Linked DNA regions of Caenorhabditis elegans. The protein of the gene in region 3 purifies or fractionates together with the protein of the main gene of each other region. This does not show direct contact. Each region holds a gene or a part of one and is shown on either strand. Other genes may lie near its edges. The genes, in order: csn-3, AH9.6 and plc-3.

Region 1 (8,846 bases), on a different chromosome or scaffold from region 3:
GAGAAAACATAAAACAAATTAATAAAAATAATGCAAGTGCGCTCCAACGAACGAGTTCAATTGGCGGAAATTCAAATTGGAATTAGGGGAAAACTGTGATTTTTCCAATTTTCAAAAAATCATATAAAATCTAGAAAATTTTTTTGAATTTTTTACAATCATATTCGGTCATTATGACATCATAGGCACGTTTTAAAGCAATTTCCCCATTGAGCGTAGTCCACCTTTAAAAACTAGTTTTTTCAACAAATCTTTAATTTTTAAAAATTTTGGGATGAAAAATTGTTCACTTTTTCTGAAAATTGATCGAAAATCCATAGTTTTTCGAGATTTTTCCGCACAAAACCAAATATTTTCATGATTTCTTCAGTTTTAAACGAAAAAAAAAACGCTCCGAAAACGATTTTCACGGAAAAAAACTTGAAATTTGAAAAAAAAAAAACGAGTTTTAGACCAAAAATCACATTTTCTGAGCATTTTTCCTCTGAAAATTGCCGTTTTTCAGCCAATTTTCACTCAAAATTCTGGATTTTTAGCCAAAAATTCAGTTTTTCGTGTTTTTTTTTCAATAGAAAAAAAAAATAAATTTGAAAAAAAAACGAGTTTTAGATTAAAAATGCTATTTTCTGAGCATTTTTTCCTCTGAAAATGACCGTTTTTCAGCCAATTTTCACTCAAAATCCCGGATTTTTAGCCAAAAATTCAGTTTTGTCGTGAAATTTCATGGTTAAGAGTTTTCAAAATTCACTACAAACTTGCATGAAAATTTTGGTTTTAGAAACTGGGAATTTTTGAAGTTTTTCTTAGTTTTTCTGGCTTGTAAAAAGAAAAATCCTGAGATATTTCCTCTTTTTCTCGCAAAAATTCTTGCATAAAAAGTACTTTTTGAACGAATCCAAATGTTGATCCTGAACCGAGAACGCTGGCATTCCGACACAAATTTCGAGCAGGAAAAGAGCATCTTCGAAACGTTTAAGCTCAATGAGAATACATGCTCCATTGTAGAGATAATCAAGTACATATTTTGGATGAAGATGAGGATTATGTGCCACTGGCTGTGAACCGAATGCGGCGCCTTTCTGAAATAATTTTAAAAGATCCAGAAAAACAATTTGAACTGAAAAACCCAAAAAATTCCATATAAAATTTGTTCTTTAAACGAATTTAGTTTTTTGATGTTCATTTTTTATTCATATTTTTCGGTTTTTTTTATTTATAAACTTCAGAAAACTTTTAGTAATTTCAAATTTTATTTTTAAAAATTCAAGAAAACATTTTGATGTGGATTTACAAACCAGACTAAAATTTAATATAAATTTTTTTTTAAACAAATTTTTATATATTTTTTAAATTTTCATTTCATATTTTTCAGGTTTTTTTTGCAATATTTCAAAACTCAAAGAGCTCGAAAATTTAGTAATTTCAGATTTTATTTTAAAAAAAAGTTTTTTGCAACAGAAAACATTGAAAATGTCCCATTTTTGCGTTTTTTTGTCACTTATTTCCGAATTTTTCGGAAAAAAATATTCAAAATATAGTTTTCTTCAGATTTTACTGAAAACCCAATGCAAATGTTCAGAAAATCGCGTTTTTTTAACTTATAAAAATATTTTTGTAATTTTCGTTAACTTTTCAGCTTTTTAAATGTTTTTAAAACCAAGCAATTTTAAAAAAATTTAGTGTTTTGGAAGCTTTTTTGAAAAAAGTTTTTTGGAACAGAAAAAAATTGAAAATATCCTATTTTTGCGTTTTTTCGCACTTTTTTTCCGAATTTTTCGGAAAAAATTGGTTTTCGTAAGCTTTCACTGAGAATCCAGTGTAAATATTCAAAACAATCGTTTAAATATAATTATACATGTATAATTTTCGTTAACTTTTCAGTTTTTAAAAAAATGTTTTTAATCCAAAAAGAATTGAAAAATATTGTTTTTGGGGGCAATTATCAGTTTCTAGACATTTTTTTTCCAAATTTGCGTGTAAAAAACCTCAAAAAATGATGTATTTTCATATAACGTTTCTAACTTTTTTTCCTACAAAAAATACCCATTTTTAAAGGTTTTTTCACACGAAAATTTGAAAATATCCAAATTTCCAGATATTTCTTTTTTCTTCCATAATGCACCTTCATTCTTCCAAGAAAAACATCTCCAAAATCTCGTTCTCTATTATCACTCTTTTCCTGATCTTGAATACAATTCTCATTTGCAATCTCATCAACATGTAGATCAATAAATGGTTCAACAGATGCATAATCCTTTGTTTCAAGAGCACACGCAAAGAGCACACCGTGTGCAGAAGTGAGCACATTTGGAGCATTTGAGCCATTTCTTGGGAACATTGATCCGAGTGCTTTCATGATAATTCTTTGTCCTATTTCTGGTTTATTCTTCTTTTCCAAACAATATAAGCCGACGTCGCGGAGCAGTGGGAAAACTGAAAAAAAAATTTTTTTTAGAGGGAAATTGGAAAAAATTACATTTTAAAAGTTAAAAAAAAATCAAATTTTCAGTTAAATTTTCAATTTTTGCCTAGTTTTTCTTTAAATTCGAGCTTATTTGCCAATATTTTTCAATTTTTCTTGAAAGATTTTTCAATTGCTCCATTCAAAAAGTGAAAAAAAAATCTATGGAAAAGTGACTTTTTACAAGAAAATCGTTAAAATTTGTCATTTTTTCACTAAAGAATGCATTTTCAGACAACTTTTTTCTGTGGAAAAATTCGGATTTTCGAATTTTTTTGAGGACGAAAAATTAGGAAGTTCTTAGTTTTTTAATTTTCAGTCTGAAATTTATAGATTTTTGAGGGAAATTGAGAAAAAAAAAATAAAATTTAGGAAGAATTATAGGAAGAAGGAGAAATTTTCAGTTAAGTTTTCTATTTTTGCCTAGCTTTTCTCTAAATTCAAGTTTTTATTTTTATTTTCCTTTGAAATCCGACGTCTTTGACTTTCTGCTTTAAAAAAAAACGGAAAATTCGGCGAAGTGAAGCTGCATTTTTCTCTTTAAATCTAGATTTTTCGCATAAATTCCATGTAAATCATCCATATTTTCCAGTTTTTCTTCTCAATTTTATCTAGAAACTCACTAATTTCAGGTACAAGCTTCAAATGTCCTCCAACAAAATTATTCTCATCAACATAATGATTGAGAAGCTCAACAGCTCGATCTGTTCCAGTTTCATTATTTTTTGCAGCCGACGTATCAAACATTCCTTTAATTGCAGCAACCATTGCAGCTGAACCAACATTTGGACTACAATGAAGCAAAAATGCTTCAACATCGTTCGATTTCTTTTCGAAAAGCTCTTTATTCTTACGAACAATTCCAGCGGCCAGTTCACCAACATTCTCTGAAACTAAATACGGGAAATTAATGCGGAATTCTGGAAAAAATAGGCTTGACGGTATCCTTAAATTGAATTTTTTTTTAAATAAAACAAATTTTTTAATAAATTTATTTTAAAGCGGGATTACAGTTTGTGGGTATTCTGCTTAAATAGACTACAACTGGTCCAAAACCACCGAATTTAATAATGAAACAAAAAATTTTCAACAATTTTGTATGGATTTTTGGTTGAGGCTTAGGATTTTTGGGTGAGGATCAGGATATTTCGTTGAGGCTACCATGATTTTTGGTTGAGGCTAAGGATTTTTGATTGAGGCTCAGGATTTTTGGTTGAGGCTACCAGGATTTTTGGTTGAGGCTAAGGATTTTTGATTGAGGCTCAGGATTTTTGGTTGAGGCTACCATGATTTTTGATTGAGGCTCAGGATTTTTGATTGAGGCTCAGGATTTTTGGTTGAGGCTACCAGGATTTTTGGTTGAGGCTAAGGATTTTTGATTGAGGCTCAGGATTTTTGGTTGAGGCTACCATGATTTTTGGTTGAGGCTCAGGATTTTTGATTGAGGCTCAGGATTTTTGGTTGAGGCTCTCAGGATTTTTGGTTGAGGCTCAGGATATTTCGTTGAGGCTACCATGATTTTTGGTTGAGACTCTCAGGATTTTTGGTTGAGACTCAGGATTTTTGGTTGAGGCTACCATGATTTTTGGTTGAGGCTAAGAATTTTTGGTTGAGGCTCAGGATTTTTGGTTGAGGCTACCAGGATTTTTGGTTGAGGCTCTCAGGATTTTTGGTTGAGGCTCAGGATATTTCGTTGAGGCTACCATGATTTTTGGTTGAGGCTAAGGATTTTTGATTGAGGCTCAGGATTTTTGGTTGAGGCTACCATGATTTTTGATTGAGGCTCAGGATTTTTGATTGAGGCTCAGGATTTTTGGTTGAGGCTACCATGATTTTTGGTTGAGGCTAAGAATTTTTGGTTGAGGCTCAGGATTTTTGGTTGAGGCTCAGGATATTTCGTTGAGGCTACCATGATTTTTGGTTGAGGCTAAGGATTTTTGGTTGAGGCTAAGGATTTTTGATTGAGGCTCAGGATTTTTGGTTGAGGCTACCATGATTTTTGGTTGAGGCTCAGGATTTTTGATTGAGGTTCAGGATTTTTGGTTGAGGTTCAGGATTTTTGGTTGAGGCTACCATGATTTTTTGGTTGAGGCTCAGGATTTTTGGTTGAGGCTAAGGATTTTTGGTTGAGGCTTTCTGGATTTTTGGGTGAGGCTCTCCGGAATTTTGGTTGAGGCTACCATGATTTTTGGTTGAGGCTACCATGATTTTTTGGTTGAGGTCAAAATTAAAAAAGGCATATTAGTGCAAAAATCAGAAATTTTGCCCAGTTTTCTTTGTCGCAGAGACTGTAATTCAACTTTTCTGAAATTATCACTTTTAATTCACATTTTGGTAATTTATCTTGTGTAAATTCATTGATTGAGACAATTTTTAAGCGAAGAGACATCCAAAAATGATAAAAATTGGATGCCTCACGGTTTAAAATTGTCTCAATCAATGAATTTACACAAGATAAACTAATAAAACTTAGATTAAAGAGTGATAATTTCAGAAAAGTAAAATTCCAGTGGCTGCGACAAAGAAAACTGGGGACAAAGAAAAAATTTCAGATGTCAGCAAAATTTGGCTCTTTTTTTTCGGAATTCGATCCCTTTTCAGATGATATTCATCAATTTTTCACGAACTTCTACGAGAATTTCGATGGGTTTTTGAATGAAATCATTCAAATTTCCCGAAAATTTCAGCGAATAAATACATTTTCAAGTTGAAAAATTGAGAAAATCACTAATTTTCTTCTTTTTCCAACAAAACCCTCCAAATTACCATGTTTTTCACTGCAAAGCTCATTGATCGCAGCACACAATGACTCCATACTACCAAGATCCATTCCAGAAGAAGCTGCTGCAGACGATGATGATGAGGCTCCCGTGAAGAGCTTATTGAAAAAAGCTGAAAAAGCTTTTCCGATTTTTTTAGAAAATTTACAGGTTAAATAATAAACTTACTTGTCATGATCCTTTTGTGAATGGGATTTTCCTGTGATATCTGAAAATATTTACATTTTATCGTGAAAATGTGTGACAAGAAACGAGTAAGAGAAGATATACGAAAAAATAAGAGAAAATTGCACAGGGAATGGCGATTGGTGAGAAAATTTAGAGAAGAAACCGAGAAAAATATAGAAATTGAGTAAAAATCGAGCTTGTACAGGAAAATACCGAGAAATTAGTGAAAAATGGGTAAAATTTGGGGAAAAGAGAAAACTTTGCTAGAAAATAGAGGGAATCACGAAAATTTTAGGGTATTTCAGTTCAAATATCACCGAAAAAGCACCGTGTCAGGCATAAAACGCTGTTTTTTTGAAAATTACTTATAGAAAATACGCTAAACAACACGCGACGCGTAACATCGGAGCATCGTTGTCACGCTTTTCTTCGAGAAAAATAGCGTTTTATTCGTTGGCACGGTGCCAATTTCGGAAATTTTAGATCCAAAATCCCAGCTGATCTTGAATCCGTGGTGCCTCAAAACAGGTGAAATTCACAATATTTTCCTGCTCGGAAAAATTTCGAAAAAAAAATCGACAATACGGGGATTTTTCGAGAAAAACTGTGAGAAATGCCCTAAAAAAATGCAAATATTAGCTGGAAACGAAGAAATTTGGGTCAAAATTATAGAATTTTCAAATTAGAAAATGCGTGAAAAATTCAGGAAACATGATCGATTCAAGACGAAAAATACTCCTCGTCGTTATCGATTTTTTCAGTGCGTTGATTTTGAGAAGCGTCGTAAAATGGTACGGTATCGAGTGCAGAATGCATGTCAATCATATGAGTATTCATCGATTCGAATAATCGTTCGATTTCTCGTTCTTCTTCTGAATCATCCGAATCCGACTGAAAATATGGGGAATTTTAGTATATTCTAGTATTTTTGGATTTTTAGTTGAGGCTCTCTGGATTTTTGGTTGAGGCTTTCTGGATTTTTGGGTGAGGCTCTCCGGAATTTTGATTGAGGCCCAGGATTTTTGGTTGAGGCTCTCATGATTTTTGGGTGAGGCTAAGGATTTATGGGTGAGGCTCTCAGAATTTTGATGATTTTAATGAAAATTTGAGTTTTTTAAAGGTAAAAAGCTATTGGAATATTGCATTCAGCGAGTTTTTTTTATTTTTTGCAGCGCTAAATATCACAAAACAGATATTTTGTGATTCCTGGGACCGTTTTTTGGGACTTTCTGCTTTTTTTCAGATTAAAAAACTGGCGTCTGTCGCATTTTTTGTTAGTTTTTTGAGAGATCTTCGGAGTCGTTTAGCTAGAAAATAGACTGAAAATCGGATTTAAAAAAAAAGGAAAATCCTGCCAAAAACACATTTTCTAGATCACATTGAGCTTTTTACATTCCAAAAATCCCGATTTCTTCGTAAAATTGCACAAATTAATCCCTTTTTTATGGAAATCCGAATTTTTCCTTACAAATTCAAAATTCTCCTTGACACTCCTCGCTTGTTTTCTCTTTTTCCTCCTAGCCGACTCAATTTCATAAACTTGTAAATGAATATTCGACACATCTTCATGCGCTTCTTTCACTTTTCCCAACGCAGAAATCTGTGGAGCATCTAGCCATCGGAGCTCACCATTTCGAAAATCTTCCAGTAGTTTCAGCATTCCTTTCTCCTCGAATATCATACTACTGGGCTCCAGAGGCGATGGAGGCTCCCGAACAAGAGTCTCTGTCATTGTATTTGGATCCCATTCGTACATATCTGCGTCTCCTTCGTGTCCGAGCACTTTCTCGTCCAGAGTTCTCGATTCAAACCATTTTTCCTCGGATTCCGGGCTTATAAGCTTCTCGGGACGCTCCACGTGCTCTTCTTCCTCCTCTTCAACTATTTTCTTCTCCTCACGGTCTCCGCGCGTGAATCGATGGAAGAAATTAGTTATGGAGTTTGTAGTATCCTTTCGTTTGCGACCAATGTCCTCTGCCACTTTACTAGGCCGCAATTTCTTTTTGTCCTGAAATTTATTTATTGAAAATTAATTTTATAAAAACGTTTTTGCCTTGCTAGTAACTGTCAGATCATCGATGGACTCCGAGAGATCTTCGGAAAGCACAAAAGACGTCGATAGTGTCGTCGAAAATCCCAATTGATTGTTGAGAGAACTCTGAAAACAATTCAAAATTTTTTTTTAATTAATCGATTTTTCTGCCCACCTGCTCTTCATCCACAACTTCCACTTTGACGGGCGGCTCCGTGCCGTTAAACCGAATATCACCAGATTTCGGTGATAAACTCACGTCTCTAGACATGTTTTCGGGGGAAAACTAATTTTTTTACGAAATAGATTAAAAATTAGCAATTTCGAGTTTTATACTGGTTTTCAGTGGTAAATATTAGGAAATATGAGTAAAATGTGATTTCTAACAAGTATTAAATGGAAAAATCGTTAAATTATCGGGGAAAAAACAGGAAATTTCAGGAATAAGAAATGCGCTGAAATTTTGTTTACAAAATTGGTTCCTTCGAGAGGAGTACACGGCGCGTGGCCGAGAAATCGTGCTGGCGGCCGCGTTATTTCGGAGCGTCGTTTGATGCGAAATTACTTTTTTCTGAACTTTTCAACGAAAATTTCGACAATTAAGAAAAAAAAACGTTTATTTAAATATTTTTAAAAGAATTACAAAATTATGCACAATATTTTATTATTACTTCTACTTCTTCACGATCCTTTGAACCCATTCTCTCGGCAGAAAACCGCCTTCCGTGATTCCACGTGCCTCGTCTTTTGAGATCATCGCAACGCCTTGCTTTTTGAAAGCCATCTCAGACTCCTCGATTCCCTTCTTCGTTAGTCCAGCGCTGCATTCCGGGATCACGGCGGCAAGGAAGTTCTGCTTCACAGCGTCCTGAAAATTTAAAGTTTTGAGGTGTTTTTAAAGGTGGTGTAGTCGAATTTTTTTATTACCTTATTAGACTCAAAATTGTCTGAAAACACCGAATTTCATAATGAAACTTTTTAGAAAAAAGTTATGACGGCTCAAAAAATGGCTTAAAATTAGTTAAAATCGGAAATTTGACCAACTTATCAATGTCGCAGCGGCTGGACACAATTTTTTTTTGAAATCACCGTCAAATTTTGAGTATACAAGTTGATTTCCTGCGTTTTAAACTTGATTAAGGTATTTAAAAATCGATGGACGGCGAGATTTTTAATTTTTTTGAGCCAAAACTCGCCGTCCATCGACTTTTAAATACCTAAATGAAGTTTAAAACGCAAGATGATCAACTTGTACACTCAAAATTTGACGGTGATTTCAAAAAAAAATAGTTTCCAGTCGCTGCGACATTGATAAGTTGGTCTAATTTCCGATTTTAACTAATTTTAGGCCATTTTTTGAGCCGTCATAACTTTTTTCTGAAAAGTTTCATTATGAAATTCGTTG
Region 2 (11,210 bases), on a different chromosome or scaffold from region 3:
CACGGAAACCCAAAAAAGAAGACAGCAATGGTAATGAGATCAATACTAATTTCCGTGCTCAACTTGCTATTGAATCTCCCCTCACACATCTTCCGAGCTTGGGCTTCGTACGACGAGAGCAGCTTGGAAAATGAAATTGTGCGAACATTAGAACGTGAGTTTTGTGCTTCGTACACTTCCGGCCGTGGGTTTCATAAGAAAGGAAACATTTTCATCTTCTCAAAACTCAATTTTCCAAAATTTTCCCTCCATCTGTCCAGGAACTCATTTCTCCCTTAATCTCTTTTTTTTCGGCGTTTCTTTTTCTGGAGGTCGGGTTAAATCATGGGATCAGTACTCGTAAGAACGGAGCAGTGTAGACGTTATTAAAAATAAGCCCTGTCATAACAGAGTGATTTTCAAAATTTTTTCAGCAATCGCACAAATGATGTACTTCTCGCAGTTCGCGTGTAATGCTTTCTACTTGGCAACATCAATTTATGAAACCAACGGATCTCCAAGGAATACTGTAATTTCAAGCAGCAATCGTCATGTTTCGAGATGTATTTCAGATGACGAAGCTTAATTTTACATCTCATAAAATTTAGCACTAGGTACGGATACTTGCTTCTCTTCAAACCTGTTTGTCAAACTATTACATGTTCTCTCAGCATTTCTCATTGTTTTTGTTGTATTTTTGATCTCAATTGATCTACTGAACTCCTTTCTCAAATCACTCAAATTCCGCATTTTCAACGTGTAAGCCAAACAAAAATTGTGCAAAAAAAATAATTGAAAACAAATTAATAATGTGTTATAAAAATAAATTATTTGCTGGTTTCTGATAGCTTCCGTCAACATGCAAGGTGTACATGACTATAAAGAGTTTTCAATTCATACTCATCCATCTTCAAATCGTGCAGTTGGAATATTTTTAGATGAGTAATTAATTGAGATCAATTCAGAAATAAAATAGAGTCGCCTAGCTTGATAAATTGCTTACTAATAGTAAGCACGGCAAACTTTTTATGCCAAAAACAGAATTCTAGGAAATTGTTCGAAAGTTTGCTGATGTAAATTGAAACTTTTGTAATACACTGGTACTGATTATTTTCGAGAACTAAAATTCAAAAAAAAAAGTTTATTGAGAACATAATCTGAAAGAAAAAATACATTGCAAACTATGACGGCTTTTAGGTTCCTTTTTGTGAAACAACGCTATGATCTACAGCATTCTTCGAATATTGCTTATTTGATAAAGAAACTGAAATTTTTGAAATTTTACAAACAAAGATTCACAGAAAAAATACATGGTTTGCAATGAAACATGAAACATTTTTTACATTTTTTCACAAATATAGTGTGATACCAAAGCAACGACAAGTTTTAGTTATAGGTGAAGTACGTCCAGTGGAAAAATATTTTAAAAAACCATTCCTATGGTATTCAAATAGCCAAACATGCATAATAAAACTTTTCCAAATTTTTGGCAACATTTTTTATTTCAAGTTAGATAGCGGTGAAATGTTTATATATCTGTGGAAATCGCTAATAAAAAAAACGTATTTTTCTTCCAGTTTGAATTATGTTCCAAACTCTTATATTTTAGCAATGTTGGGGTTCAAACATGCGCCAGTGCTTTAGATATTTCGAGAAGTGGCGCAAACTCCGTTTTCGCCATTTTTTGACTTAAAATAAAAATTCTCCAATTTTTGTTCTGAAAAGTTGTACCATGATACTTCCGCACTCCGCCTTTAATTAAACGGAAAAATTCAATGTTTTATAACTTTACAAAATTTATCCTCAAAATCACAATGAATGAAACATTTTCCGAGTTTCATTTTGAATTATTTATTTTATTGTAACAAAACGTGCATTTTAATAACCCTCTTTGCTCCGAAGATGATGGAAAATGTGTTCCCGTCGTTTGAAATAATAAAGTCATTGAACGAAAAACGTTTACCTCTGCTTATTCCCTTCAAAAAATTTTCTTCGGAAATTTCCTCCAAATTTCCTGTTTTCCACTACTGCTGTGTTATCGTAAAGTTAATATCGAGTTAACATTAGTTGGTACTTACAAAAGCAATAAATGGTTCGGTTCATTGTGAATGTGGCTTCTTTGTCGTTTTCTTGTGGAAAATTGCTTTCCTTCTTTTAGGAGTCTCCGACTGCACAATGACTTTACAGGAAATTATTTTTCGGCCCGGTTTTTTTTGTCTTGCAAAGCTTCTAAAAACCTGGAGCTAAAAGTGTTTCGTTGGATTTAGTTAGAACGAGTCAAAATGAGTATGTGTAAAAGAGATGAACAGACTACGTTGCGGAATTTTTTTTTTGAAGACGCGTACGAGCCTGACTTCCGTCCCCTCTTGAATTTCGTTGGTGCTTTGTGGTTTGTAGTAAGTGCATCAGAGACACGCCAATAAAAGCGAAGAGTGCTCTAAAATGACATGGAGTACCTTTACCTCCGTGCTGGATTGAATTACACTTGAGAATTGGAAGAGAGCACAACTACATCTGGTTCCTAATCACAAGCGTGCTTTTTCAAATGCACTTTATTTGCAGGTGCCCTCCCCGTGAGTTATGAAATTCAACAGCAGCGCGAGTTGCAATCTTTCAGAGAGCACATTTTCTTGAGATCTCCCTCGGGAAGACTAGGCAACGCCCGTCTCAAATGAAGCTTTAGATGAGATGACGTATAGTGTGTTGCCAAGTGAGTTTTCACTTTTTAAAATAAAATTGAAGCATGGAAAAAAATAAATGGACCAGATAAAATTTGATTCGGTTTTGTCCAAAAAACTGCAGAAACATTTCTGAAATTCTAGGCGTGAGAGAGAGAGAGTACACAGTAATGAATAATTCAACATTCTCAGTATATGGGGTGAAATTTGAGTAAATATTTGAAACACTACTTTGGGATCTTGACTTCTACAAATTTTGAATGGAATACCTCGAGAATTTATTTGTGATACTGAATGAATGTAGGTACTTTCAAGGTAAACCTGCACCAAATATGTTTATCATTTTTAAAATTCAACGTAATTTTTTAGTTTTAGTATTAGTGTTTTCTTAACCTGAGAATGCAAATCAATTTCCCATTTTGATTAAATTATCAGGTGAGTGGAAATTGAAAAAAATTTCTGAGACAGGTACCAAAAAAACTGAATCCCTGTATTTGGAAGATAGATCACTCCTTTTCTGAAAGATCTTGTGTTTTCGCGTCAGAAATATTTACAATCATTAACTCGTCTTTCCATTAATATTCATGAGTACTCAACTTTATTACTACCCAATACATCACTTCCAAAAACTTGGTCTCTAGCTATAAAAAGTGCGAAGTATGAAGAAAATGAAAAAAGGAAAGGAAAGACGCACTTCTCTAAGAAAAAAACTCAATTAAGCAACCTGGACTTGTCACTGAGAACAAGGACAAGAGCAAGAACAAGTATCGAAATAGAATGTTTGTACGTACGTTAATCGTGAATTCTCTTAGTGTGTGGCGTACCCCTTGGGAGAAATGTTTTCAAGTCCAGTGTTCACTACTATAAGCTTCCCCCCGTTTTCCTATTGCCCAATGTCTCCTAGCCTCCTCAGTCGGCGCCAAAGTGGGCGGAGCGCATTGGCGGCGCTGCCTGCGCGCGCTTCGGACACGACCGTCGTCGGGCGAAGCACACAGAGAGCAACTCCTCGGGTTTTGGTGAATCAGTCGGTCGCCGCCGCCGTCGTCGTTTTTGGCAGAGCATATTATTGGTGTGGAGCACACAATGTCCTAACTCTCATGGCAATATGATGCGCAAGCTACTCGTCATCTGCCTTCTGACGGTCTATGCCCAAGGGGGTCAGATTCCTGTGCCTCCCATATTTTCACCATGCAACTTCCCATCTCCGATCACCGAACCTAGTTTTGTGAGTTCAACTTTTTCATGTTTTATTTTTTTATTTGCTGAACTTTAAAATCTCCCCTCAACTTTTAAGAACCAAAAAAGCTTTAGCTTCAAATTTCCAATTTCTTTTCTAGAAAAACTGAGGTAGGAAGAATGAGAAAAAAGGAAAAATAATTAGCATTGTTCGTTCTGAAAATGCAAAAATAAGATAAATTATACATTCCCTCTGTTTTGCCCTAGGAGGGGTAGCCTTCGTTCCATGTGCCCCACAAATCACTCAAGCGTTCGTAAACCTTGCAATTAGAAACCCAATTATTTTTTGCTGCTCAGTATTGCTTTATTGTTTATATATATATATATATATTTTTTCTGCGCCGTATCCTACTTTTTTCCACTATACTTCTCCTCCTTTCTCCTTTTTCTATATACTTTGCGAAAAGTTGAACGGCCCTCCAAAACTCGTCGAGGAAGAAGGATGAGAAAGGAAAGCCGCGTGGAAAAGACGAAGACGTCGTGCTTTTTTTTTCTATTTGCATATTGAGCATTTGCTCATCCTTATGAAACCAATCAAGTGAAAGACAATCGTTGTTTTTTTTGTGTCCGTAGTCTTAGATTTACTCTGGCGATATCCGGAAGAATGACGAATTTCGAGTTTTTTTTTCAGAGATTTAATTGTGCACTAGAGGGAGGAAACCCCATAGTTTCGAACTTTTGACTTGTGATTCAAAATTTGACACTCAAATTTTAAAGTCAAGACCTACCCGGTGAACTGCGTGAACGACATTAGTCATTCTTGTGGTCTCCTTTGGAAACCACAAGGTGAACAACATCGTCTCGCCGCCCCGTAAACGCAATTTGTGAAAGCCGAAAAACTCAAACTCCTTTTCTCTTTTGTATTGAAAACCACAAATAGAAGAAAAGGAAATTCCTCGGCGACAACAAAAAAGAAATTGTGTCCCCCCTCCCTGCCTTTCTTCTGCTTATGCTTCCTTCCAGGTTGCTCAAGGACCCTCGTTTATTGTGTCGCAAAAAGTTCACAATTTTTTTTTGAAGGACTGAGGAGCCGAAAAACTTTGTGAAAAGAAGAGTTTGATCTGAAATCAACAATTGTCAAAATTGTCAAAAACATTTTGCAAACTCCCTAAACTTCTTGAGATTTATAGAAAAAACCTGAAATGTATTTTTAGCATAGGAGTAATTTTGATTCTCCTCCAAATTGTCAGCTCATCTCTGTAGACCAAAAAAAAAAGTTATGCAGACAAAAAGGCACGCGACTCAAAAAAAATGATATATACATACACATGTATTTATTTGACGTCTTCCATCATATTTTATTGTGAAAAGGAAAGAAACGACCACCACATCCATTTTAGTTGATGCGAGCCATGTGAAACACTTGTCAAGCATATATTCATGAAAAAAGTCACTACGTACTCAAAACCCGACAGAATATGTTATGCATATGTGAGGAAGGTCACGGGGGTGAAATTGTAAATTTCTACTACATATTAAGAACGTTACAAAGCAAATAAATTTGCAGTAGTAAGTTACAACAGTGACCTTTGGAAAAATTATTCAATTTTCCGTATTTTCCCTATTAAAATCGCAACGGGGCTCTTTTTTATCGGCCTATGCCGCGGTTAATTTTCACGGTATTAAAATGAGTACCGTCACTAATTTTAAGGTCCTTTTTGAATGCAGCACTATTAGAGACTGCAGTACTGATTTTCAAAAACCTCTTTTCAGTTGTAGATCACTAGCTCTCAGTCACAAAAACTCATATTTTAGGCCTGAATTTAATATTTAATTTTTTAAATTCATTTTGTGAATTAACAAAGAATCATTAAAACATGTTCAGAAAAAGTTTCCAAAATGTCGAAACTAATGAGGTTTCACAAAAAAAAATTGCAATAAAAAAAGGGTTGCCGCATGAATTGAAAATATACGGTATCTACAAGACTATAGGAAAATAAATTGGAATTTATTTTCTCAGATGACAAAGGACAAATCTATATTTGATTCAACAGTTCGCGAATTTTTAATTTTGATTTCAAAAATTAAATATATATTCTGTTTCTGCAACTCATTCAAATCTACCTAATTTCAGCACCGATCGGTTTGCTACACAATTCCTCGACTTCCGTTTGTGTGCGATCTTCATCACCAACTGGCTTACACAAATGTTTATGGAATTGAAAAAGCTTATAATAAGTATAAACAATTCTTTTTTTTCAATCTTAACACCCAATTTTCAGGTATCGATCACTCTTCACAAACGGCAATACTTCAACACTTGCCGTCATAATCAGTTGAGAAATACACCTGCCTCTCTCTTGTCCAACGAAATTATATTTTTTCCAGCAAAACAACTGGAGCAGCCTGCTTCTGCAAATGATGTCATGAAAAAAACCGAGTACGCTTGTCTCTTTGATAACGAATGCGACCAGATTGACGGGGACATGGTGACTGGAATTGTCGGAAATGTGCGGAAGTTCCTACGGGTAGGTCGGTGTGGTCGGAGGTTTCAAAAAGTATACGTTTTTAGCGGGAGGGGGGAGGGGGTTAGTCCAAAGTTGAGCTTGCAAAGTGGGGACAGGAAGGGGAACTGAATCATTATGAGCCAATTTTCTATCACGTTTTCCACATTGCACGCAAGTATCGCTCTTTTTTTGGGTGAAGTGGTTGCAGTGCGCAAAGTGGGCACATCTTCAACACGTGCTAGAAATGATGAATCTTGAGTTGAGGGACTCTCAGAATGTAGCAAAACGTTTTCTGAGAAAAATACTTCCTGCGTGAGATACAAAAACGAAATTGAATGCAGTGCTAAACGGTTTCCAATAAAATCTATTTTTGAAGAATGGAGTTCACAAAATAAAAATATTCAGATATCTCAGTAAATCCCCATGTATAGACTTAATGTATAGATTCAAAATGTGCTCAAATGAACTAACTTCGTTATAAAACTTTTTTTTTTAATTTATAATTTTTTCTGACGGTTAAAGATTTAAAAAAAAAATCAGCTAATTTTAGATGCAATCTTAAATTTTGCAAACTTTTTTGTGGCACCTAGATGTGATAAAGATTGCACATTGAATTTCATAAGATTTTATTTTTATTAACTGTATAATTCGGTCTTTATATATTAATTTAGGTAAATTTTAAGGATTATAATAAAATAAACATTAATTTCCGACAGCTGTGACATGGGAAATTTTGCAAAATTTAGGGTTTCAGCTAGCATTAGCACAATTGTTTGAAAACATTTTTAACCGTTTTGAAAAGTTTTTGGGAAGCTTTTGATAAGTCTCATATTGATATTTGATTTGTTTAGAAAAACTTGTTATTTAAAATATAGCAACACTTTTAAAATATAGCAACACTTTTAAAATATAGCAACAATTTAGTTCTCCTTCAACGGCAAATTTACAGATCAATTTTATGAGGAAAAATATTTTGGTGAAATAGCATTGCAGTTATTCTAATCGAAAAAATACGGTATGGCAAATTATTGCGGACTGGTTTTAAAAAAAGCTTCAATGATAATAAGATGCAGAAGCTGTGATATTCGTGTGTACTTGGCTGAAATCAAAAATTGTATATTTCAGGTTTATTCGTGGAAAGTATATGAGCGATGGTTTGGTGTCGGAGAATCTTGCACCAAGACAAATTTGCTAGCGGTAAGTGATGCCATTCTATCCATTCACTCCTTCCAAATATGTTTTCCAGCTTGTTGTAATCGATGGAGTTGTGAATGACGCCAGAAAAATTCCATACGTGAGATTGCACACAGGTACATTTCAAACTCGAGCAAAACTCAAAACTTATGACTTCGATCAACTCAATTATTCCAGGCTCACATCGTCTTCGAATGTTACTTCCAAACATACAAAGTGAAGTCAACAATGCGTTGGTGCAAGGTACGCGCATAACTGAATGCTAACCAGAAACGGTGTATTGTTTAAGGCTGGCCACTAGCAAAGGTTATCGAGGATCTGGTGGATGATGTGGGATATGCACTGAAAGATTATTACGAGCTGAACGGTGAACAGAGAGATCATTCCGTTCCAATGTAAGTTATTGGAGCTGATTCTTGGTTGTGAAGGGGATATGGTTTGGGAAAACAGCCTTGGAATAGTGTAGGTATGGTATCGGTGTGGTATCGGTGTGGTATCGGTGTGGTATAGGTATGGCAAAGGTATGTTATAGGTATGGCAAAGGTATGTTATAGGTATGGCAAAGGTATGTTATAGGTATGGTATAGGTATGGTATAGGTATGGTATAGGTATGGTATAGGTATGGTATAGGTATGGTATAGGTATGGTATAGGTATGGTATAGGTATGGTATAGGTATGGTATAGGTATGGTATAGGTATGGTATAGGTATGGTATAGGTATGGAAAATATATTTTCAATCATTTCAGGTGGGCACGAAACCTATTTCTGGTCTGCTTGGCACTTGTCATCACTGCTCTTCTTGTCGAGTGGTACGTGGTGAGAAGGAAAATCGGAGTGCAAAAAAGTGGATCCATTAAGATTGCGTCAGGAAAGAGCAAAACACATCTCATGTTCTAATGTTCGTAGTGTCATATCTGAAACTTTTGTACATTTATTTTTATGTAATTGTTTTCAATCTCTCTCATTCGGGTTTACGGTGATTTTTTTTTTCAAATTTTCACTGCTAGAGTCAACGATCAATAATAGTTGACTGTTTAACTTGTATTTCTTATTTTTTTAAGGTTTATTTTTTCAACAAAATAAAGTGAAGAATATTTTCCAAATTTGAAAAGTTTGAATAATAAAAATAAAATCGTCTTTGTTTATATAAACAAAACTTAATATATTCGGTGCCTATTTTGAGCTGACTAATCTTCTATATAAAGGGGCCTAGCTCCATTGGGGAATTTTTCTGGGGATTTTCTCAAAATTCACTTATATGATTCCAAAGCGGCCGAATATCATAATAAACCACTCACATTTTTAGTCAACGTTTTGGCAAGTTACCATCATTTTTGAATGTCGTATGGAATGTTTTAACAGAAAAAAAACCAAATTAAAATTAAAATATGAAAATCGTAGAAAGTTTTTTTTGTTGATTTCCAAAATCATAAGGGACAAAAACTGGGTAATTGCTACACTTCGTTAATAAATAAAACATTTCTAATTTTTTTGAAAAGTTGTTCTATGATATGATATTTGGTTATTTTAGCACCATAGGAGTAGTATTAAACCTTTAAACATTTATTCACCACTTATCAAAAACAAACAATGTTGTTTTTATTTTTCACCTAGTCTCTATAATTCCTACTTTTACGCAAAGAATCAAAACATCTCTAGACTCTTATCTTTCCCACTTTTCCTCTTCATGCTCGAAGAAAAGACACTACATAAAATTGATAATGATAAAATATTGAATCAATGTTTATTGTTCATCAATTCCACTGTTTTTTCTCATTTATTAGCATAAAATGTTACTACTTTCCCGGCTGCAACTACGGTAAGCGGTATCCAGCCGATGTTTTCAATACTGCATTTGAATACACGTGCACGGATAACGCTCATTGTTTTTCGCATGCCAATTTCACAAATGGAAAGTGAGTTTTCGAAATGCAATAATATTTTAAATATTTCGTTTGAAAAGATTTTTATGTTAAGATAGCATGCAAAAGCTTATGGTAAAACCACACATATCTAGTGGATTTCTTTAACATTGAGAGATGTATTGAGGATATTTTCTCTCACGTGAATATTTTATATTCCCTCATAATTCTGAACAAAAGCCACGAACTCAACGTCTACTGCCGCTATATATTTGAAAAACGTGCTTTTCAGTTTAGTTTTCAAGTTTTTCATAGTTTTTTAAAGATAAAGTACGGTCAGTGGGGAAATAATCGATGTTAAAATAATTATGTATCATAACAAAACACTTCAAAAAAGTTTTTCAATTTGTTTCAAAAAGTGTTAACTACTGCTTGTCATTGTTTTGGAAGTCATCTCTCAAAATTTTTTTTTTGATTTTTATGGTCTATTTATGTTTCTAAAAATAAATATTCAGAACAGGGTAAGCGGCAAACTGGGCAAATGGGCAAATTGCCGGTTTGCCGATTTGCCGGAAGATGTTTGCTTACTTCTCAAAATAGATGAAGGAACATTCACAGGATGCGTACAATTTTGCCGCTTAAAATTGAAATTCCGAAATTTCTAAAAAAAAATGTGCGAGACCACAACTTTCCGAAAGTATTCGGCAATTCCGGCAATTTTCCGACTTGTCGGAAATTTCAATTCCGGCAATTTGCCAATTAGCTAGAAAAATCGTTTGCCACCCACCCCTGATTCTAACACTGTGTGAATTCGAACATTCGATATTGCTAAATTTTTGTAAAAAACTGCCAAAAACTGAAGATTTGCCAATTTCTTACTCTCAACGAAAACGATACGAAAATTTTTTGAAAATTTTTACTATGATTTATTTTTGCTCCTTTTGGCACTACTACTCCGTTTCAAATTTTCTGTAAAGTGGTTTTTTTTTAACTTTTCTAACTTGAAAACAAGAAAATTATAAGAAACTAAAGTGATCTTGATTTTCTGTTTAGTAAATGAATTCTATGAGTTTCTAAATTTTTTTTTGATGAATTTGAATTTTTATTTTATTTATGAAATCCTCTATTTTCCCGAGTCTCCTCCATCTGCCACACAAAAAAACAGTAATGAACATCTGCTCTATACCCAAGGCGGGAGAAACACATGTATGAGACCAAACCATCGATTTTTGGTGGGGAGCACACGCATACGGCAACCGTGTTACCCTGCGTCTCACGTTGTTACATTTTCCATTGTGCGTTCCGTTTTGAGTACAGCTTTTTTTCTTGCATTTCGCTAAATGGTTTTGAAACTGTAACATGTTTTTTGTGAAGTGAATTATAACAAAAAAAAATTGAATGTGATATCAGATAATTTTCCAGGAATTTTTTTTGTTGCTATTTTTAAAGGAGGACCGACAATTGAATTTTGACTACTTTCTTTCCTGTTTATTTACTGTTTGTTTGCTGGTTTTTGAGAAAAATACACAATTATTTTTTAACCAGAATTTTTCTGAAACGTGTGAGTTTGTTTTTTACTGGGTGTGTATCAAAATTTAGCATAAATTCTGAAATTTTTTTGGTAATTTTAATTTCTCTGTTATTGTAAACTAGCTCAAACATATTGATTCTTATTTAATTGGTTCTGAAAATTTAGAAAAATGTGGATTTAATTTTAAGAACTAACTAGACTAAATGAAGATTCATTATTTTTTTTATGTAGATCTAAATTTGTTTGTTTCATTTTTCGAATGTTAGTTCTAATTGGTATA
Region 3 (11,762 bases):
CCTGAGCATCCGCCCGGCTCTTCACAGTGTCGCCTCTCACCAGGGGTTATCAAACCAATATGGTCAAGAGTTGTGGGAAACTGTGTCATGACTCAAGTGCTTTTTTCCCATGCACACTTATCAAATGATTCCCACACTGATAACTCGGCACGTCTTTTGTGGTTGATAGTGATGGGAACCATTGGGATATAATTTTTTTTGGCGAAACGACACAAAAAGTGGGTTTTTAGGGTTTAAGGCAATTAAATTTCTACGAATAAGATTCTAATCTAGAAAAAGAAGGCGTGCTGTAGAAGTGAGGGGTACTGTAAATCGCCACGCTCCCTCTTCCGAATGGTTTATGACTTTTCTCTATATCTCCTTCTCTTTCTCTATATTTCTCAAATTCCGCAACATTTCTCCCTTCTTGATTTTGTTCATTTACAAATCGAGCTATAAAAATCAATAAAAACTTAATTTTTTTTCCAGAAATGGTCCTCATCAGTACCCCACCACCAGCTTACGCTCATAACAGAAAAACATCACAGGAGAAGAAACGACGAGATGAGATTAATGCAAAGATCAAGGAGCTTCAACTATTGATTCAAAATGAATCGGATAATGAGAAAATGACGTGAGTTTTCTATTCGTTTAGTGTTATCTTCATTCAAATCTTACTAATTTTCAGCCAAGGTGATGTCTTAAACCGTGCAGTCGAAGTGGTCAGTCGCATGGAAACCGAATCACCTGGACCATCATCAAATCCAAATCGCAAAGGATTCTTTGACGGATTCCGATCAATCGAGTCGCTCACTTATTCCTTCATCAAATCCCTGGGCGTCAATTCAGATGTCTGTCAGGATTTTGTGCAACGTGCCAAGCAGTTTTTCGATCGAGAACGTTCATCTTTGCTGAGCACTGTATCTGGAAAATCAAAGAGAAGATCTGAGTCGGAAATTCTCCACTCTTCAATGAGCTATAGATCCCAGTCAAGCTCTCCATCGACATCGGAATCTGGAATCACAATTGATAGAAAGGAAGTGAAAAAGAATAGAGAGCAAGATAGAAGAGATCGTCAGGGAGAAGCTTTTGATGCTTTGAAGAACTTTATCATTGAGAACAAGCTCATGACATCTCATCAAGTGTAAGCTTAAATTTTCCCAATACCATAAATTAAACTTTTCCTTTTTTCAGCGAAAAAATGCAACGCTTGAACACCCTGGATATCATAATTGCCTACATTCAAAACAAGAAGCACAATTTTGTTAGTCGAAGCGACCAGGAGCAGTCACTCTATGCACATGCAATTGCAGAGGGAAAGAAGACTGCAAAAAACATTGCCTTCCAATTTTTCAAGGTGAGTTGTCAGGAACTTCGAGAAGATTTTTTTAAATGTTATCAATATATTTTCAGAGCGACCGTCACCTCGTTGTCCGATGCGCAGACCTTGAAAAGTTCTTCGAATTCTCCTTATCACCAAAGCCACTCTTTGGATTCCCATCCATGCCCATCCCAATTCCACCACCATCATTCCCAATCTTCCCATTCCGGCCATTCCCATTCTTCCCAATGCCAATGGCACCAATGGCAACAAGTCCAAAATCTCAACAGTCTCCATCATATTCACTGGATTCTCCACCACCATCATCCGATACTTCTTCGTCATCAATCGAAACACCATCCACTCCAAATGAGAACTCGAATTCCAATCCTAAAGCTTCAAGAAAGAGTAAGCTGTTCAGACCATGGGAATAACTTTTCTAAAAAATATATCTCCTTTAATTGTAATTTAGTGTTAAAAGTATATATTCTTATTAATAATTTATCAACCTCAAAATGTTATCGACTTTTTCAACTTATCATATCATTATCATCTCACAACCAAAATCTAGTTTTATTGTCACGGGCTATTAAGCTTACCGGTAGGTTTTATAAATCCTTAATTGTTGTTTTCCCTCAGTATTCATAATATTTATATTGAATTTTCCGATTTTCAGTGATTTTGAAGATTAAATGACTGCAGAATAAAGTATTTATTATCTCTATTATAGTGTTGTATTCTGGTACCTTGTTTCCCATGGCAATTGGTTGCTCATTGCCACGTGTCTCGATAGAATGATGTGACAGTTTTTATTCTCCCACCACCTTGTTCCAGACAGACGACTAATTAGTGTTTTAGTGGGAAATGGTTAATACAATGATACTTCTAATTCAGAGGGTTTAAATCCACAAGGAAAGTATTTCCGCTCTAAATTGAACTTCCGAATGTAACCTAGCTATTTTTTTCTTTGTAAAGTTGATGCCTTTTGAAAAAAACATGTTGAACATTTTGCAGATTTTTTTCAACATATAACATTTTTCGAAATGGCTTCCGGATGATAATCTAACCCTAAACACCCTGAAGCATTAAAAATCTCCATTAAAGTGAATGCATTTTGAATTTAAAGCTGAGTTTGAAATGTAAACCTTTTTTGTGATAAACAAATATTTTCGAATTCCTCAAAAGTTCAAATAAGAATTGCCGATCTTTGAGGTTTCTCTGTTGTTTCCTGCGAATTGTCATCTCGCCGATTATTTGGCCGTTCAGTATTTAGAAACAGTACATTTTAGCCTGGTGTGCCCCCGATACAAACTTCCTTTGTCATCTTTTCTCATGCAATATTTTCCAGAAAAGTTTTGTATAAAAATGCACTGATGCTGGAAACTCAATTTTTGCCACAATTTTTTCCCGAAACTTTTCGCATCTTACTTATAAATATTTGTACTTTAGTTTAGTAAGTTGACATTTACAAATCAAAAGTGCGTAAAACTTTTTTAATGCGGAAACCCAGAGAAAAAGTGTGTTCGGACTGTTGAGGCGATTGTCTCGAAGTTGTTGGCGAACCCGAACCGGTCCGCTTTGTTTGTCTCTCAAAACCTCTTCATTTTCTTTTATCTATCATATTTCACCTATGTTCTATACACCCATTCACCCCCATTTTATGTATGTGAAAAAATGAAAATTTGCATCTGAATTCAGAATATTTTTGTCGTTTTTTATAAGCATTCCTTTTAGGTGTCAATTTTAACATCTCCAAGGAAAATGGTTTCGAGTTTTTTAAAAATTTATATTTAGAAAGTCTGATAACAATACTTTATTTTAGGATTAATGTTAAGATCCGAAATTTTTTCATAAATGTATGGCTTCTTCCGCAAATGCAAAACAATTGACACGACTCTAAAAGTTTTCTTTTTTTTCTGTGATTTATATGTGATGTAATTTTTCTGTGACTTTGTTGCATATACATATGTAGAGTTTAAAATAATTTTCTAAAAAATCAATCTTGACAATTTTTCACTTATATGTCTAAAATTTTTTTGTAAATTTAATTGGGTAAGTTTATCTATGATACTATAATTTTTAAAAAATCGGGTTACAATAAAATGTATCACAGCTTTCGTTTTTCATTAGCAAATACTTTGGAATAGTTATAGAAAACTTTTAAATGATCATAAATGTCTTCAAAGTAAATAAATACAAATATTGAAGCGTCTTCATTCCAATGGAATGAACAAATTGAAAATCCGATAAAGATTTAATTGAAAAATATTGGAAATGCTCCTCTTCTTCTTTTTCACATTCACATCGTCCATTTCTCTTCAATCAACCAAAGCGATTCGAATTTTGTTGAAACAATATTCTTTTGCTCTTTCTCTTTCTCTTCCAGTTTCCAGCCCTTTTCATTCAATTCTCTTTTCTATGTGTGAAGCACCAAAAGCACAAAACTCGAGGAGCATTTTTCTTTATCAAAAAGGAATTGTGAAAATTTCCCAATTTAGTCTGAATTATTTTTCCACACACCGTTATCGAATTGTGCTCCTCGCCGTGGCTAGTATGACGTTATCATACTGTCATTAGGTCATATGTATTATATTTCACACTTTTACTTTATTGTGCTCCTTTTTTCTTGAAATGTCATTCTTTTTTCTTGCAGTTGTAGAATTTCCGGAAACTTTTTTTTCTGAAAATATAGGAATAGGGAGTTGATTGGGTTATTGGAGCTCGAATTAAACTGAGGGTAAATAAGTTTTTAGGAAATAATTTTGAAGGGCTGTGGTGCTTTTGTCAAAATATACGCGATTTTTTAAAAACCAAATATGAAAAAAAAAATTTCAGTCACGGTTTTGGCAAATTTTCAAAATTTTGAAAAGTGTGATTAGTTGAGATATTTCAACTATCCTTGCACATTTGAGCCAATCTTTAGCACAAAGAATTAAAGCATAAAACACATTTTTGCCGGCTTTCAAAATTTTGATAGATAAATAGTAATTGTTATAGAAACTTCTTTTGCCAATTTTGCAGAAAACTTTCATAATCTCCAATCGCAATTTTCTTGTTGAAAACCTATTCATTCCTCTAATAGAAACTACATTTTTAAAACTTATTTATAAATTAATTGGAAAAATTCACAAATATCCAGGCAAATAAGACATCTTGTTTAAAAAAATGTAATATCTTTCAATATTACTTGAAGCCTTCCCAGCCGCTTCTTGTGAATTTTCTAAAAATTTCTAAGCGAACTATTTTAAAAAATTAGATTTTTGATCAAGTTCTTGTTTTATATTCTTTGATTTTTTTTTCAAACGGGAAAGTATGATTGATAGTTTTTTTACCGGAAAAATACAACAATTTTTGATAAGAGATTATTCATTTTAACAACTGAATTGCATTTCACTAGTTGAATAAAATAACTTTTGTTATGAGAAATTGAAGAAACACCACATTTTCGTAATTGCTTATAAGTTTTAAATTAATTTCTAAATCAGAAATTCTTTCAATCGTTCTTTTGCAAGGAAGACCGTTAAAATTTTCTTTTTTATGTGCATCCAATTTCATAAATCCTTCAATTTCTCAGCATGCAACACGGCTCACTTGGCCCATCATCGTCGTCTCGAAAGACTACAGTAACCAGCACAGCGGGCTCCGTTCACCTTCATCACCGCTCTTCAAATGGTTTCTCGACAGCATCACGAGCTCAATTGAACCGTCACAATGAAATGGATTTTGGGAAAATGTTTGCGGCAATGGAGAAAGGTCACAAAGTGTGCAAAATTGCGGTGTTGAAGAAATGGGATCCAGCCTATAAACAATTAACGTTGGATCGGTACTCGAGGCAGATTTTTCTGACAAAATTGGAACTGTCAGCTGTTAGGTAAGAGGATAAGTAACATCGCATGAAATTCATTTACATTTTTTTCAGAAATAAACCGACAATTCTAGATATTCGACAAATCCGTGAAGTACAGACATTGAATTACAAATTGAACACAATTAAAGTAGATGATAAATGGAAAAAGGATCGAGAAATCGTAAATTTTGATTCAAAAGCCATTCTAATCATCTCATATGGAATGGGATTTGCTCTTTCCTATTGGATTCTTTTGTGTGAGTTTTTGTTAAAATAATTATTCAATAGTTTGAAAGAAAAATGTTATAGTTGAAAGTGAGGATGCGTGCAAATTATGGTCACAAGGACTTCATAATTTGATGATGGACACAAGAGATCGAGACTCATCCCCTCATCCATTGAGAATTGAACGATTTCTGCATAAACACTTTTTGAGTTTAATGTCACCGGCTAATGATGCGTAAGTTCAAAAATTGCAGAATTTTTTAATAATAACAATTTTCCAGCGTTGCTCGAAAGCATATGAAACCATTTGTTCAAACCTCCCTCCAATTCAAAGTTCAATCTGATCAGCTCCAACAAGTGACAGAAGATCAAATGAATTCTGATCAATTCAGTTTTGCCAGTCGTCAACTTATCCATGTACCTGAACTCTTCTCTTCAAGATTCGCTGATCTTGCTGAAAAACATGAACGAAAAGGTCTTGTGGTGACGTTTCAAAATTTTTTGCGATTTCTTGATGGCAAACAATTCGATGAACTTGCCTCGAATCGAACGAGAGCTTTGGAGTTTTTGAATCGATATTTTCAAGAAGATCAAGCATATTTTGGAGATAGAAATGAGCCTTCAATGACTGTTTTCGAGTTTTGTGATTTTTTATTTTCAAGGGAGAATTCGCTGTGGGACCCAACAAATGAGAAAGTTACTCATGATATGAGCAGACCATTGTCTCATTATTGGATTGCCAGCTCGCATAATACGTTTGTTTTTTTTTTGGTCTATATAAGTGCTAAACCAGTAATTTAATTCCAGATACTTGACGGGTGACCAACTTCGATCTGAATCTTCTTTGGATTGTTATGCTCAAGCTCTTTTGATGGGTTGTAGATGCATTGAGTGTAAGTTTTAGAGACAATTTTCACTGTTTTATAAATAATTTTATTTTTCAGTAGATTGCTGGGATGGACAGAAGAAGCCCGGGTCAGCCGAGTTCATTGATATTGTCATCTATCACGGGTATACGATGACCTCAAAAATTTTGCTCCGCGACGTGCTTCACGTCATCCGTCACTATGCATTTGTTACGAGTGAATATCCAGTAATTCTATCAATTGAGGACAACTGCTCGGTGCCAGCTCAACGGCTTCTAGCTCAAGAACTGAAAGATATTCTTGGTGATTATTTATTGACACAACCAGCAAATCGTGAAGAAAAACAATTGCCCTCCCCGGCCGCGTTGAAGAAGAAAATTATCGTGAAGCATAAGAAGTTGCCGATAGAAAGCGAGGATTTGGCAGCTGTGGTGAAAACTGATGAGTGTAAGTTTTATGAAATTACTCTAGTTTCCTAGTAGTAAAGGTATAAATCATTTTGCTAAATGATTTTTGTTTCAGTCCAAGACACGGAAATCATATCTCGCGAATGTGTAAAGAAGGGGATCCTGATGGTAAAAAACAACAACAGTCACGAATGGACATCTCATGTTTTCATATTATTCCCTGATCGTCTTTGCTACCTGATTCAAACCGCTGATCCTGAAAATCCAAATGACGATACAGTGAGTGTAAGTGGAGATGAAGAACGGGAAGAAGAGACGCCTTCTGGATTTGGAGTGAAACCTGAAGAAATGCATGTGACTGAAGAATGGTTCCATGGAAGATGTGAACGGGATGAAGCGAAAAAACGGATTCTAGAGCATAAGGAGAAGGGAAATGGATTGTTTATGATTCGAGATTCGAATCTGTTCATTGGAGATTTCTCACTTTCGATTCTACATGACGGGAAAGTTCATCATGTTCGGATAAGATCCAAGATTATTGATAGTGAGTTTTTCTATGTTTTGCATGTAACATGTATTCGAGAATTACAGTAAATAGAAGAGAAACTTTTAATAAAATTTTCAACTTTTCAATTTTTCAGAAGAGAAAAAATATTACTTCATGGATAACAAAGTCTGCGACACTCTTTACGAGTTGGTCTCTTACTACACCCGTCACTACCTCACAACTGCTCATTTCAAAATGGTGCTCACGATTCCATGTCCTCAACCACAACCGCATCTTAATCAGCCATGGTTCTCTGCTACTGCTGACAAGGAAAAAGCCGAAGAACTTTTGAGCTTGGTGCCAGAAGATGGTGCTTTCCTAATTCGGACGTCATCGACTGACTCTTCAGTTTACGTTCTTTCGCTAAAAGTCGACGGCGAATTCTGGCATTATCGATTGAAAAGAGATGGAAGAATTTTCGTGGTGAATCAAAAAGTATTCGAGAATTTGAATCAAATTGTTGAATTCTATGCGAATCGAGAATTTGTTAGAGGAATTAGTCTTCGATTCCCTGTCAATGAGAAGGATATATCACACCTGACAGCTGAACTTGCAGAAGCTCGTACTCCAGGTTGCTATATGGATCTGAAGGATTTGGATAAAGAAGTTCAAGCTCGAGCACTTCGACCGTATCGAGGAACAGCTGATGATGAACTTTCGTTCCCAGCGAATGTTATTATCACAGTACTCCGGAAGGAAGAAGGTCTTTGGAGAGGAAGATATGGATCGTTGACTGGATGGTTCCCTTCGGCCCATGTACAAGAGATTCTACCAGAGAAAGTTTCAACTTCAGGTTAGTTTGAAAAAATTAATGTAAACAGTTTATCTCATAAAATAGCAAGTTTAAATTAAGTAGTCACTATCAAAAAGGGAACTGAATTTCGTGTGGGCTCACTATTATTATTTGTATTCTTTTGAAATAGTTTAGAAGCTGCCAATATATTTAGTGTAGCATCACGATATGGTTTATGCACAATGAGCATCACAATAGTTGAAATCAAACCATGAAGAGATAGCAAGCATAAAGAAATATTAGTTTGAGCTGTAATGAATATAGTAACTAGATTATAGTTTTAAAAGTGTTACCTTGATTATGATACTCCAGAGAAACTTGAATAATTACAAATAGAAATGGAATAAACATTAGTAAAACAGGAATAGTAACTTGAATACAAATTGCTCGAAATAGTCTCTTTTGTAAATTTCTAGTCCTTTCTGATTTTCTATCATCTTTTCCACTTAAATTCATCAAAAGTCGAATGACAAAATAAATAATCTGCCCTTCAATCAATGAACTAGTGATAATAACTGAATAGTGAGTTACACGGACATCCAGAGCTAACACAAAAAATCGATTTTCATCGACTTCACATGGAAATTGTTCCTTAACTATTTTGATAGCTTCCGACTGATTTGGAATACGTAAAATAGTTGGAATGACAAAAGTGAACGCCAGTAAATAGTTGAAAATAAAGAACAGAGCTCGTCTGACTTTTCGACTAGAAAACTCGAAAATAATGGTGTTATAGCGGTTCTCGAAAATGTGAAGAATTGCTACACCGGTTACTGAAATGATAAAATATAAAGTTCCAAATTTCCTGCAAAACTTACAAACAATTACAGTCAACATAACATAAATTTGAAATGGAATATTCACATCCAAATAACCCAGCAATCCCATGGGAAACCCTGACATTGACGGTAAAAGTATAAATGGAGCAACAAATAATCCCATAAATAAATCCATTAAAGTACTCCAAAAATGCAAATTAAATATGACCAATTTGACAAGATTCATTTGATTCGGGGTTTTGCACAAAATACAGTACCCTCCGAATATGTAAATTGGAATTCCAACAGCCGATATTATGTGTAGACTTATTTGTAAAAACTTGGGAGAATGAAAGAATGATAGAGTGGGACAAGAAGCTTGCATTCGATAGAAATTTGAGTTTTAGTCAGATCTGAAAAGAAGAAAAATAAAGTATCATCCCTTCTATGCTTCAATGATTTTTTAAAAATTTGATTATTCTATCAGAGTAAAGTGAAATCAAACATCAAAGTTTTCAGAAACTAGCAACTACAACACAATCGAGCTAGCTGGAACACTAATTGAACGGATTCATGATGCTGATCGTCCGAATGTTATCAGAATATCACAATCAAATCAACATTGGATGAACAAGCAATATTATTTGTTGGCTGCTTCTTGTAAGTTGTTCTTCGAACTGAAATTCTGGGGTTTACAATTTCGACAGGCTACAAATTGTGTTGATATGGCCCGAAAGAAAATAGAAACTCTTTAAAAAAATTTCAAACATTATTTAAATTAAATTTGGAAATTTTGTGACAATTGAAAGCGTACCTGAATCTACAAACTACTACAAAAATTTATTTAAAAAAAATTCAAAACGGAGAAGAAAAAAAAAACAAATTAGATTCACTTTACGCAAATATTTTTCAACCTGGATCCCAACTTAACTTAAACTATAATTTTCCAGCCTCCGAGGAAGCAGATGGTTGGCAAAACAATCTCTTCGAGCTGACTCGTTCAGTTAACACAAAAATGAGCATACTCCGAACCAAAGAAAAAGAAAAACGAATTGCCGCTGAGCTCTCAAATCTAGTCGTCTACTGTCAAGCTGTTCCATTCGACCCAGCCCATATCTACAATGACGCTTTCTATGAAATGTGCTCATTTGTCGAGGGAAAACTTGACAAACTGGTTGAAAAGGGGCTTCTTCCGTTTAATTCCCGAAAACTCTCGAGGGTCTATCCGAACGGAAGTCGAATCACATCGAATAATTATAGTCCGGTTCCAATGTGGAATGCAGGATGTCATATGGTTGCACTAAACTATCAAACCGGTGATAAACCCATGCAGTTGAATCAAGGAAAGTTTTTGGCAAATGGAAGATGCGGGTACCTACTGAAACCAGATTATATGTTAACTGATGACTTCGATCCTACGAACACGGAAAAGTTTGCAACAGCTTATCCCATTCGACTGAATGTTCAAGTGATTGGAGGACGTCATTTGTCAAGAAAAGATAAGAATAAAGGAATATGCTCCCCATTTGTGGAAATTGAAATTATTGGAATGCCATGTGACACAAAAGTTTTTCAAACTAAAACTATAGGTAATTTTTAATATTTTTTTTCCTTTTTAAAAATAAGTTTCTAAATTTCAATTAAAATTTCAGCATCAAACGGTCTTAATCCGATCTGGAATCAAACTTTCACATTTGAGATCCAGTGTCCCGAAGTAGCACTGATCAGATTCCACGTGGAAGACGGTGACTTTGTGGGACCAAAAACAGATCCGTTCATTGGTCAAGCAGTATTCCCTGTTGATTCAATTAGATGTGGATTCCGATCAGTTCCACTCAAAAATCAGTACAGTGAGGAGCTTGAGCTCTCTTCACTGTTAGTTGATGTACAAATGTGCTCCAGAGAAGGAACTCAATTGATCAGGTCGTCGTCGCATTTCTTGCAGGTTAGTGCCCAGTTGAAAAAATTTTATTAAAGGTTTCTTCAGGCGAGTCGTCTGGCTCCTGTCTTCGCTCACCGTAAGATCACAAATGGCGATAGTATCCCTCGTGAGATGGCACCTCGGTTACGAACATCAGCCACCGATCGTTCACTAGACTCTCCAACAAATTCCGAGTCAAGAGCCACTCTTCTGAGCGGCCAACGAGGTAGCCAAGACTCTATGGACAGCGCTGCCGAGTAAGAATTGAAATTTAAACTTTTGTGTGAAAATCTACTTTCAGAACATCGTCCATTGCATCTGGAACAATAAGCTCTCGGGATGGAAAGAAGAAACAAAACTGGCTCAAGAAGTTCTCATTTGGAAAAAGTAGTAAATCATAGATATAAACTCAGCACTTTCCGTTCTGTTTTTTGCCACAAAATTTTGGAGCATTTTTTATAGTTTAAGTTTAAATATACCCGGTTAGTTTCAATCAATACAAGTTACTAGTTACAACTCAAAATTCGATATTTCTCAATTATTTCCGCATTCCTCCAAATCCAAAATGTGTTCATTCCTCATCATTCCTTCCTCTTCTTGTTTAATTTTTTTGTTTTTTGACACTTTTTTTCATTTCAAGTTCAAACCTCATCGGATTCTGCTTTAACTTATGACAATTCTCCCAAACACTTCCAAGTCAATTTAATTAGTTTTGCTGAGATTTTTCTTGTACCTTTTATTATTAATTGTTAATAAAATTATGCATTTTTTGGTAATTGGTAATTTGGTAATGTTATTTTTTAAATTAATTCAAAATTTCTTTGGGATTTATTTGAGACCTAATGCATCGTTTTGATAATGCTGCAAGATTTCAGGCCGATATGGGCCGCCTATTTATTGTCAGCCTAATGGTTAGCTTCTTTTTTTGAGCTACTCAACATTTTCAAATGCAACACAATTTTTATTAGAGGACTCTGTCTTTCTCCGTTGCATATTCGTTTGCCTTCTCCTCTTCTCTATACAATTCAAAAAGTACGATGAATCACTCCAAAAACAACAACATTATATGAAAACGAAATGAAGACAAAAATATAAATA

What was found.
Region 1: the proteins of plc-3 (region 3) and csn-3 fractionate together in Caenorhabditis elegans (co-fractionation; one large-scale study listed by BioGRID). This does not show direct contact.
Region 2: the proteins of plc-3 (region 3) and AH9.6 fractionate together in Caenorhabditis elegans (co-fractionation; one large-scale study listed by BioGRID). This does not show direct contact.

The regions. Positions count from the first base shown.
Region 1 is NC_003282.8:191,348-200,193, reverse strand, and holds the start of csn-3 (COP9 signalosome complex subunit 3), read right to left. Parts: upstream 5,453-8,846; 5' UTR 5,417-5,452; coding exon 5,410-5,416; intron 5,354-5,409; coding exon 5,228-5,353; intron 3,355-5,227; coding exon 3,085-3,354; intron 2,434-3,084; coding exon 2,123-2,433; intron 1,080-2,122; coding exon 883-1,079; intron 1-882. Other genes in the region: intk-1 (INTaKe), read right to left, coding at 6,130-6,300, 6,878-7,417, 7,463-7,567, 7,617-7,712; pnc-1 (nicotinamidase), read right to left, coding at 8,115-8,309. UniProt on the Caenorhabditis elegans protein: Component of the COP9 signalosome complex (CSN), a complex involved in various cellular and developmental processes.
Region 2 is NC_003284.9:2,260,598-2,271,807, reverse strand, and holds AH9.6 (uncharacterized protein), read left to right. Parts: upstream 1-3,669; 5' UTR 3,670-3,762; coding exon 3,763-3,882; intron 3,883-5,967; coding exon 5,968-6,071; intron 6,072-6,115; coding exon 6,116-6,168; intron 6,169-6,221; coding exon 6,222-6,361; intron 6,362-7,465; coding exon 7,466-7,537; intron 7,538-7,586; coding exon 7,587-7,650; intron 7,651-7,711; coding exon 7,712-7,777; intron 7,778-7,823; coding exon 7,824-7,929; intron 7,930-8,283; coding exon 8,284-8,434; 3' UTR 8,435-8,642; downstream 8,643-11,210. Other genes in the region: putative G-protein coupled receptor AH9.4, read left to right, coding at 1-154, 414-565.
Region 3 is NC_003280.10:10,218,003-10,229,764, forward strand, and holds plc-3 (1-phosphatidylinositol 4,5-bisphosphate phosphodiesterase gamma plc-3), read left to right. Parts: upstream 1-4,874; 5' UTR 4,875-4,875; coding exon 4,876-5,171; intron 5,172-5,219; coding exon 5,220-5,404; intron 5,405-5,456; coding exon 5,457-5,607; intron 5,608-5,653; coding exon 5,654-6,127; intron 6,128-6,179; coding exon 6,180-6,265; intron 6,266-6,316; coding exon 6,317-6,685; intron 6,686-6,760; coding exon 6,761-7,189; intron 7,190-7,286; coding exon 7,287-7,985; intron 7,986-8,015; exon of another isoform or gene 8,016-8,040; coding exon of another isoform or gene 8,041-8,234; intron 8,235-8,278; coding exon of another isoform or gene 8,279-8,758; intron 8,759-8,803; coding exon of another isoform or gene 8,804-9,128; intron 9,129-9,262; coding exon 9,263-9,403; intron 9,404-9,693; coding exon 9,694-10,332; intron 10,333-10,395; coding exon 10,396-10,688; intron 10,689-10,730; coding exon 10,731-10,921; intron 10,922-10,965; coding exon 10,966-11,065; 3' UTR 11,066-11,438; downstream 11,439-11,762. Other genes in the region: Regulator of fusion ref-1, read left to right, coding at 471-613, 668-1,123, 1,174-1,336, 1,393-1,734; srh-135 (Serpentine Receptor, class H), read right to left, coding at 8,041-8,234, 8,279-8,758, 8,804-9,128. UniProt on the Caenorhabditis elegans protein: Mediates the production of the second messenger molecules diacylglycerol (DAG) and inositol 1,4,5-trisphosphate (IP3) which plays an important role in the regulation of intracellular signaling cascades.